3 linked regions of the Macaca mulatta genome follow. The protein of the gene in region 2 purifies or fractionates together with the protein of the main gene of each other region. This does not show direct contact. Links are inferred from orthologs where the notes say so. Each region holds a gene or a part of one and is shown on either strand. Other genes may lie near its edges. The genes, in order: WASL, SORBS3 and DLG5.

Region 1 (3,653 bases), on a different chromosome or scaffold from region 2:
ACATATTTCAGGGACTTTATGAAGTCTAGGGTAAGAATTTCTACTCCTGGACTTTATCTTTTACTGCTTTTACTCTCTGGTATTTAATATTTTTTAAAAAATGAATTCATAATACTTCAAGTTGTCATTATCAAATTAAAGAGCATTATATGAAGCTAAATTAGTTCTAAATACACCATAACAGTAGGTGTTCATTCTGAAAGGGGCTTCATGTAACACATAACCAGTGTGAAATAATACTTTGAAATAAGAATGAAAGATAAATGTTAAAGTAGGAAATTAACAAATATGCTAGACAAAATTTACTGCCTCTAGGAAAAATGTTAAGGCTAGATTGTATACTCAGTCAACTGTGAATCCAGAATTAAGATATAAGTATTAGTGATCTCCACACTATGTATTCTTTCTTCATGTCAGAAAAATATCGAAGAATATTGTTTCCTAAGTCTCATCTGTCAGTCATTAATGAAAAAGAACACAATAAACCGTATAATTTGATCATAGGTACTAAATATTACTTATTAATGTATGGTACATGTTTTCACAAGGATTAAGATGCAATAGATACTAAATATTACTAATGTATGGTACACGTTTCCACAAGGATTAAACTGTCATCTAAAATCTTAAACGATTAATAATTGTCAAAAAGCTTACCATTTGGGGGATCTCGTCTTTTCTCTGTTAGAAAATAAATTAGAAGAATATTATTAAATATATGTAAGACAACATCAACATAAAAAAATTAATTCACTAAACTGTCTTATTCCTAAATTGATGTATGTGTGACTAAGGAAGATTTTTCAGAAGACCCGACATTTAAGCAGAGATCTAAATAAAATAAGGAAGGGAACAATATATTCAAAGGCTCCAAGGAGGGTGCAACATGAAAGAACATCATGAAGGCTGAACTGTAGTGAGCAAAAGGCACAGTGAAAGGAAACAAGTCAGAAGGAAAGAACAGGACTAGATCATGTAGGATTCCGTAGGCCATGGTTAAGGACTATAGATTATATGTGTATATGATAGGAAGCTCTTACAGAATTTTAAATAGAGAAAGTGATATAACCTAATCTACAAGTTTACTCTGGCTACTGTATAGAAAAGTGATAGTAAAAAGGATTGAGTAGCAGCAGGGAGACTAGTCAGAGAGCTAGTGTAGCAGTCCAACTGACAGATCATGGCTGCCTGGATTAGAATGGTAGCAGCAGAAATGGTAAGAAATAGTCAGACAGGACAAGTTTTTGAAGGCAGAGCCAATCTGATAGGACTCTGATAGGATTTATGAGGGACCATGGTGAGCCTGAGGGATAAGATGGAACAAATGCCTTTTGCTGAAACAAGGAAGATTAGTAGAAGAACAGGAACAGGTCTGAGTGGGGCTAGGGTTCGGGATACAGGACATGGATCAAATATTCTGCTCAGACGTGTTAAGTCTAAAGGCTATTGTGTCACTTAACTTGAGTAGACAGAGTCTGAAGCTCAGGGAAGATGTGTCAGTACTGAAGACAAAACTTTGAGAGTCATCAGCATACAGTTTTTAGAACCATAGGACTGGATGAAAGCACATGTTCATTCTCCTGAAACTGATCTGCTTAAGATGATTTTGGAAAGGTTCCCCTTTCCTAGTCACCCTTCTCCACTTTACAAGAGAAAGGCCTGGTACACTGTTGTCGAACAATAGTTCTATACCAATTAATTTAAAGCTTTATACTATCCTGCATTGTTCTGTAATTGTTTTATATGTGTTACACAATAAACAGGTTCCTTATGGGTTTTATAGTATATAGTATTAGGAACAAAATAGAGAGACAAGGCAATGTTTATAGATCTTGTTAGCAACTCTGCTTATTTGCTTCTAAGTTTACCTAAAGTCTTTGTTTACAAAGTATAAAATACTTTTAAAACTCAACAAACAATGCTAACACAAATGCAAAATTAAAAGACAATACATATGACATTTTATCAACAAAAAATGTTATTGGAATGGGTCCTTCAGTAAATCTAAAAAAAACAGTTCTCAAGAAAAATATTATTTTAAGGTAAAGACCACCAAATTTTTTTGTAAATAGTAAATATTTTAGGTAATAAATAGTTTAGGCTTTGAGGACCACATAATCACTGTCATCACTATTGAACTGTGTTGTGGCAAAAAAGTAGCCAAACACAACATGTAAACCAATGAATATAGCTAAGTTTCAGTAAACTTTTATTTACAAAAACAGGAAGTGGCCCACACTTGTCCCATGAGCATTAGTTTGCTGGTCCAATTTAAGTAATTAAAAAAAGGGTTACCAGATTTCCTTTGTCGGCGGCCCAACAGGTCTGTAACTGCTTTTCGGAATTTTTTTGCTTCTTCTTCATTGGCAAAATTAAGAGCAACTTGACAAGTCTGAAATATTTTCATCATAAAGCAGAAACAACAGAATCATGCTTTATATAACAGCTTTATATCATAAAAACAATGAGCAAAAGAAGTATATTTCTAAAGAATGAAAGGTTAATTTTACTAGCAGATAAGACATTATTTCACCTTCAGCAAAAAAAAAAAAAAACAGTAAATTGAATTTGATCTTTCAATAAGGCTCTATAAATAATTTGGATTAGAAAAGGCAAGCAATGAAAAAAGATGGTAATAAAGAAAAATATGACTTACATCTCCAGCAAAGGTATGAAAATATCCTCTAGGACTATTATATACAAAGTTATTGTATAGCTCTTGTTCCCACAATAGTTTCCCATCCTAGAAAAAAGTCAAAAATTAAAATAAGAACTACCAAAACATAATCTCTAGGAATAAAACAAAGCAGATGACTCATATTAAGATAACTGTTTATATTAAAAATAACTTTTACACGCACACATGCAACATATTTATAATATATAAATAGTGTCACATAATCTAATCAGTAATTTCTTAAAACTGTAAACACTGGATAACGTGTCTTTCATAAAACCTACATATCAAGTCAGTTTAATTCAGCTAAGATATAATCTCCCTAGCCAACCATTTCCAAATTCAGTTACTTGGTCAAATACATAACCAGAATAATTACTAGGTCATCAATGTTACATAGAAGGAATAGGACACTTTTGTACATGAACTGATTATCAAAGCACAGTTCTACCAGCAATATTTAGACAATGTACTATCAAACACTGCAGGAATACTTTATGATCTTTTCCTCTATTTTATAGATGTGGGAGGGTCAAATATACCTTCCTTGTACTGCTCATTAACCATCTTCAAATTCTTAACTTTTGCAGAGTACCTTTCTAATTACATACTGGTATAAGTAGTATTAATCATGATGCAGAAAGAGACTGATAATTAAAATGTATCAAGGTTAAACTATGGATAAGAGTACCATGATGACTGCCATATCTATTGTCATAGTATAAAAAATAGGTTTAACCTTAATACCAAAGGTGAAGAATCATGAACGTTCAGCAATTGGAAATAAGTGGTTAGAGAAACATAGTCATTGCCCTATTCAGAAATGCAAGGTTCTACCCAGACCACAATTTAAAAATATGTACAATACACTGTTCACCCATGATAACCACTGCAATGGAATTCCTTTCTTCTTAGTGTAGTATGCATAAGCCATTTCTAAACAGTGCTTCTCAACAGTTATGAGAAATATGTCAAA
Region 2 (3,653 bases):
GCCACCCTCCCAGGGAGTGGTTCTACCTAATGTCAGCCAGCCTATGGCCTTGAGGACTCCCTGCCTGTCCTGGGGAGTGTGTTTTTGACACACTCATGACAGGGTCCCCCAGCGTGACGCAGGAACAGGACCCAGGCAGGGCAGTAGTGGTAGCACCTGTCCCCTGTGCCTAAGGAGTGGACTGTTGATCTCATTCACACCTCATAGTGACAGTATGGTTATTTTCACTTAACAGAGGAGAAAACAAGGCTCAGAGAGACAGAGCAGCCTGCCTGAGGCCACACAGCTTGACCTGGCGGAGCTGGGTTTGGATCTGCATTATTAGCCACGGGCTCACCTGTGATTGGAGCTCTGGGGAGGGACCTTGCTATGCATCCCAGATAAGGCACCGTGGGTGCATGGCACCAGGAAAGCCCCACAGACACTGACTTTCCCCCCTCAGGGAGAGCACATCTGCCTGATCCGCAAAGTGAATGAGAACTGGTACGAGGGGCGCATCACGGGCACGGGGCGCCAAGGCATATTCCCCGCCAGCTACGTGCAGGTGTCTCGTGAACCCCGGCTCCGGCTCTGTGACGACGGCCCCCAGCTCCCCGCATCTCCCCGCCTGACTGCTGCCGCCCGTTCAGCCCATCACCCCAGCTCCCCCTCAGCCCCGCGCAGCCCAGCTGACCCCACCGACTGGGGAGGGCAGACCTCCCCCCGCCGCACTGGCTTCTCCTTCTCCACCCAGGAGCCTAGACCCCAGACCCAGGTGAGGTAGCCTGCCTCCACCAGAGAGCCCACCTCCTCCCCACCCCCCATCCCCCAGCCCCGTGACTTGTCCACACTTGGGAATCCTTCCCAGACAGCCCTGGGACAGACGAGTGGGGTGACAGGGCAGAAGCTAGTATGGCAGCCCCACCCTGGCCTGGGGAACCTCAGCCTACCGAGCTCTGGCCCAGGGAGCTCTCGATGGAATCCCAAAGCCAGCCCGGGCTCCTGACCCTCGGTGTTCTTGGTTCATCCATCATCTTCCTGCCTCTGACATCCCTTTCTTCCTGTCAATCCTCAGAATCTTGGCACCCCTGGTCCAGCTCTGTCCCACCCTCGAGGTCCCAGCCATCCCCTGGACCTGGGGACCTCTTCTCCTAATGCCTCTCAGATACACTGGACCCCGTGAGTACCATCTGAGGGCTTGATCAGACTGGGGGAGTGGTCACTGGCAGGCAGTACCCCATATTCCACCCTCCCCCAAGTCCCCACCTGTGGATTTGGGAAACTTCTACCAGGTAGCCCTTGTCCTCGAAGAGCTTATGGTGATTTGGTGCAGGGAGGAGGCGCTGGTCTGTGATGTTCCCAGTCCCTCCTGGCAGCTGCGTGGCCTTGTGGCCTTGGTCTCCTCATTGGGTTTCTAGCCCTGAGGTCAGTGCATGTAGAATTGAAGTGTGGAACCGGTAGAATGGACAGGAAGGCACCAGGTGCTCAGAGGAGGCGAGGGTTCAGTGGCTTAGGGCCCAGAGGGCAGAAGGCAGGCCTGGGAAAGACTGCACTGAGCACAGGCAGAGTCGCTCCGAAGAGCTGGGGCAGGGGCTAGTGAGAGCGTGAAGGGACCCTGGGGCGTTCACAGGAAGTGGCAACACTTGGGTTAGAGCCTCTGGGCCCGTTCTCCAGTTGCCGTGATGATGCTTCTCGTAGGTACCGGGCGATGTACCAGTACAGGCCCCAGAACGAAGACGAGCTGGAGCTGCGCGAGGGGGACAGGGTGGATGTCATGCAGCAGTGTGACGATGGCTGGTTTGTGGGTATGTGGGCAGGCCGGGAGGGGGCATCTCAGGGCCCCAGGGGATGTGGGTAGGCTGCTGCTGCCTGCCAGTGCTACTTCAGCAAAGATTCATGGCCGACCACCCCCCACTCAGCTTCCGACCGGGCTACTGGGGAGGGCCTGGCACCCGATGCTTCCCCAAAGCCAGCACTTCTGTTGGCTGCCTTCCTTCATGCCCTGAAGAGGCCGAGGCCCAGGAGGAAACTGGCACCAGTCCAGGGTCACCGATGGAGTCACCGGGGACCCAGGCCAGGGTTCCCGACCTCCAGAGCCCTGCCCCTTCCTCCTGCACACCCCTGCCTCTGGAGCAGCCCTCGGGGAAAGAACCTGGTGGAAAGGACCAGGACTCACACTTGTGTATCCTGCAACCCCTAGCTGGCTCCTCCAGCCTGGGAGGAAAAGGGAGTGGAGCAAGGTCCCAGCCCCTCAGGGCTGGCCCAAGGGCAGCTCTGACCAAGGACAAATGCAGGAAGCCTCAGGTTGGCCTCGGCCTGAATCAAGGTGACCAACCTACCAGGCTTCACATGGCCTCTTTCCCCAGAGTGGGCTGGCCCTGTGGAGGTCTCATCTTCAGAGGATGGGCCGTCCCCACAGAGAAGAGAGTGGCCAGAAGCCCCCTGCCCCTCCCCAAGCAGGTTTTGAGGCCTGAGGAGCTGGGGGGCTGCTTGGGCAGCCCCTTGACCTGGCAGCCCACCCTTCCTGATCTGATCCCAGTACAGCTGCCAGCCAGTCTCCTGACCCACCCAGGACCTTAAGCACTACCCTGTGAATGGCCCCTACCTTCTGATGGGGGAGGGAGGGAGGCGGTGCTTAGAGATGTATTCAAATTTACTCGATACACTTTTGCTTTGCAATTTTTTTTACAACTACTAATAAAGTTTTGCAAATCTATGCAGACAAGAAGAAAAAGTACCACTTTTGTGTTATGAGCCACAAGTGCTTTGAGAGGAATGGGTGAGACCTGTGCCCTCTGGTATGGCAGCCACCAGCTGCATGCAGCTGTTGAAATGTAGCTCAAATGAAATAAACTAAAAATCCAGTTCCTCAGTTGCATGGGCCAGTCTCAAGTGCCCAACAGCCACACGTGGCGAGTGGTGACCCTTTTAGTTAGTGCAGGTCAGGGAAGGCTTCCTGGAGGAAATGAGGGAGCTGGGCCTGGAAGGGCAGGGGAAGGATTTGGGGAGGTCAAGAGGAAAGGGAGGTACTCAGGGCAGAGGATGACGGTGGGGGTGGGACGAGCATGGGCTGCCCCCAAGGAAGTCAGGGTGCCAGCCTGGAAGGGGAGGCTCAGGATCATCCATTCACCCAAGGTCAGGAGTGACGTTCATTTGAGTTTATATTCCTATTTTTCCATATATAGGAATATAATAATACTTACTACATTTCTGTATTTCTATATTTCTCCATTCCTTCTTCCTCCCAGGCTGGAAGAACCAGCTGGGGGGTGTGGGGATACACAGGTGTGAGCTCTGGGCCTTTCCACCAGGAGCTCTCCCCAAGTGCTGCTCCAGAGGCAGGGGTGTGCAGGGGAAAGGGGCAGGGCTCTGAAGGTCCTCAACCCTGGCCTGGGTCCACAGTGACCCATCGGTGACCCTGGGCTGGTGCCGGTTTCCTCCAGGGCGTCACTGTCTTCAGGGCACAAAGGAAGGCAGCCAACAGAAGTGCTGGCTTTGGGGAAGCATCGGGTGCCAGGCCCCCCAGATGCTTTGCCCGCTGGGGTTCCCCCTCCTCCTCTTCAAGACACGAGTTTCTGTGGGGCTGTAGACCAGAGGCCTGGATCTGTGTCCCAAGCTTGCTCCTAAGCATGGGGGTGCTCTCAGGCAATTCATTCAGTCTTCTCTTAGGCCTT
Region 3 (3,064 bases), on a different chromosome or scaffold from region 2:
AGGATTGGAGAAGGAGGGCTCTGCTCTGCCCCAGGCCTCAGACCTGGCTTCCTGCAGCTAAAGGCCCAGCCTGCAACATGGAGTTCAGGCCCACGTGGCCTGTTCTGGGAGTCCAGCAATGCTGGGTGATCTCCCAATGTGATGCTGTCAGGTGCCACAAAGCAGCCCCCATTCAGGTGGGGCCGTTCCCAGCTGGGGGCCCCAGACAGGGCCCTGACTGAGAATGCTGCCCAGAGCACTCAGCTCACTCCCTTTTGCTTTTCCCAAGCCTGCAGAATTGAATGTGAGGGCCAGAGGGCAGGCTCTGGGTCTCACACAGATGGGCAGCCTGGCTGCAGTCACCAGCTCATGCCACACTGGACAGATGGGCGGCAGGGAAGGGGAGGAAGAAGTGAGAGAGAGGCTGACGCAGCAGGTAGCAGGGACGTGAATTGTCATGTGAGCCAAAAAGAAACTACACAGCAGCCAACTCCAGCTACGTGCTGCAGAGAAGAGCAGCTGTCTCAAGTTTAGAAATACAGGAAAGCTGACCGACTAGGAAGAGATTAAAAACTCGCATCTTCAAACACAACCTTACAGAAATTGACCTTTATTTGTTGTACTAAAGCCTGTTTAACTTTTGATACAAAGTAACATTTTAGTACAGAAAATCCCAGTCTGTCAGCTCAGTACCTGTGTGTGCACACTGTACCATCTCAGTCCCACTCTGCCTGCAACTTAGAAAACAGCCCCTACCCCCAGAGGGTCTGCGAGTTAATACCTTGAGAATAGTCTACAGTTTTTCATAGTTTGTCTGAGCTAGAAAACTTGTACCTGTAAAACAAAGGACAGCATTGAGGACTGAAACTTGTCTCTTTTTTGAACAACTGTGCAAGAAAATATATCCCTTTTTAAAAAACATCAGTATGGCTAAACTACAATCTAGTGTCTAGAATTACAAAGAATAAAATGAAATCAAAGATTTCTCGCTAGTAAAATGAAATGTTAGGAACAGTATTAAAATATAGGTCCTACCCCAATGACACTTACACAGAGCCCAATACAGTACCTATTATTAACAGGACGCACAGCTTAAGGAGGAACCACATCAAATCTTCAGCCAGACATATCCAGCCTCAGAAGTGCAAAAAAAAAAAAAAAAGCCCAAACGAAGACACCCACATTGAGTAAGGTGCATGCCGTGAGTGCTGTAACCAAGATTAAAAAGACCTTAGTTTTTCTTTTTAGACTGTTGATAGTGACAATAACCATTATGCTTCCCCTAAAAGCTCTCAATTCAATGTCTGAAACATGAATGTTTTCATATTAAAAGGAACTGATGTACCTGCCACCCTCTAAAAGGTTTAAGAATTACCCTGCAAACATTGCACTGATGAAGGCTGTCACGACTTACAGAGCCTAAGGAGGACCCAATGGCAGGCATCAGCACAGCTGACACCACCTGGACCCCACCGCGGCCCTGCCCACGCAGCTCTCACAGAGCAGACACAGTGCTCAAGTAATAAGCACAGATGGAGGAGAAACGAGAGGCTGTGGAAGGCAGGAGAGAAAGGCCGAGAGACGAGTTTGTAAGAACACCAAAGTCACCTTCCCCAGTGTGGGAGGAAAATGCCAAAGGCACTGGTTCTGCTGCCACAGGCAGTCTGAGCACCTGCAGTTGTGACGTCCTTCCAGGAGAGGTGCCACCGAGGAGCAGGAACTTTGTCAAAGCTCTGGTCCCACCAACAAGAACCTCCCAAAGCAAAGCAGCCCCCATTGAGGTTCCAAGGTCGTTTTGCTGAAGACGGGAACGAAACCAACACCAAAGCGACAGGGGTTGACAGAGGGGGCAGGGGCTGGGCACCAGCAACATGGAGCCGTTCAAGTAAACATAAACCACCAAATACTTAGAAAAGGTTTGTAAACGAGTGATCCAAAAGGTTCTCTTTGCAGCATCTCTGATCAGCTGGCTAAAGAAAGGTGGGTGCTGAACCCGTCTTTAGTGTTATCTGTTTTGTGTTAAAGAACACGTGTGACAGGGGCAGAGGGTGCGGGCCTGGGCCTGGACCGCACGCAGCTGTGGCCCTCTGTCTACAAAGGAGGTGCTTCTGGGTCCTGGTTCCGGATCCTTCCCCTGCATGTTCATAGACGGACAGACTTCTACTTTGAGTCGCTAGAAAAGAGCTGAGCCTGGCGTCCCCTCAGGCGGCCAGCTGCAGTCATCCACAGCACAGCATTCTCCTAGAGCGGGCAGGCTGGAATCCACAGGACTTTATTTTGTTCTTGATTGACCATTGCCAAGATCTGAGTGCAAATGCTTGACAGGGCTCCTCCCTGGATGACCCCTGCAAAAGAGACCCCCAGACACATGTCATTCAGCTCAGAGTTAAGACCCCAGGTTTGAGGCAAGGCAGTACAGTTTGTACTCTTTCTACTGTGTGGCTGTCTGCTTTGAGCTACTTGGCACTCTGCTCCATCCCCACCTGACTCTCCTTCACCAACAAGAAACTGGGAAAGAAAATTGCCCCTCGTGAATTGATCACTCACATGTAAACTGCCCACCCCACTGCAGTAATACCCTGGGTTGGGTTTGCGATGGTTGGGGGAATCCCAGGGCATCAGAAAGAAGTTTGGAGGACATGTAGCGGTGGTCTAATCGTTAGCAGGATTCTGCAGGAAACGACCAGTTTAAGGAGCCAGACAGCTCATGGCCAAGAGGAGAGTCACAGCACGATGATGACTCCAACTGGGGCCAGCTCTGTACTATAGGAGTTTGACGCTGGGGTCTATAGACAGCAGGCCAGGGGAACTCCAGTGTGCTCCACAGAACAGCACCTGGACACAAACCAAGCCCCCACTGCAACAAGCCACGCTCAGAAACTGACAGTGAGTGTTTAGAAATGGGACGTTTCTAACGGAGTGCTATGGAAACGGGACGTCGTAATTTTATGTCTGTTGAATCTAACAAGAAAAAAATGGAGCTTACCTTTTCCAAGTTTTAGAGTTTTAAAATTTTCATCTCTCTAGGAATTGTCAGTGTATTTGGCTAAATACCAGTCTGTGAGGAATTGGAAATGAAAGTACA

The links.
Region 1: the proteins of SORBS3 (region 2) and WASL purify together in Homo sapiens (co-immunoprecipitation; 3 studies listed by BioGRID and IntAct, with this or other methods). This does not show direct contact. The link is inferred for Macaca mulatta from reciprocal best matches to the Homo sapiens genes SORBS3 and WASL.
Region 3: the proteins of SORBS3 (region 2) and DLG5 purify together in Homo sapiens (co-immunoprecipitation; 3 studies listed by BioGRID and IntAct, with this or other methods). This does not show direct contact. The link is inferred for Macaca mulatta from reciprocal best matches to the Homo sapiens genes SORBS3 and DLG5.

Annotation. Positions count from the first base shown.
Region 1 is NC_133408.1:163,505,883-163,509,535, forward strand, and holds part of WASL (actin nucleation-promoting factor WASL), read right to left. Parts: intron 2,744-3,653; coding exon 2,657-2,743; intron 2,393-2,656; coding exon 2,296-2,392; intron 682-2,295; coding exon 658-681; intron 1-657. UniProt on the Homo sapiens protein: Regulates actin polymerization by stimulating the actin-nucleating activity of the Arp2/3 complex. Involved in various processes, such as mitosis and cytokinesis, via its role in the regulation of actin polymerization.
Region 2 is NC_133413.1:24,236,628-24,240,280, forward strand, and holds part of SORBS3 (vinexin), read left to right. Parts: intron 1-442; coding exon 443-754; intron 755-1,054; coding exon 1,055-1,158; intron 1,159-1,677; coding exon 1,678-1,784; intron 1,785-3,653. UniProt on the Homo sapiens protein: Vinexin alpha isoform promotes up-regulation of actin stress fiber formation. Vinexin beta isoform plays a role in cell spreading and enhances the activation of JNK/SAPK in response to EGF stimulation by using its third SH3 domain.
Region 3 is NC_133414.1:71,851,069-71,854,132, reverse strand, and holds the end of DLG5 (disks large homolog 5), read right to left. Parts: intron 2,325-3,064; coding exon 2,221-2,324; 3' UTR 574-2,220; downstream 1-573. UniProt on the Homo sapiens protein: Acts as a regulator of the Hippo signaling pathway.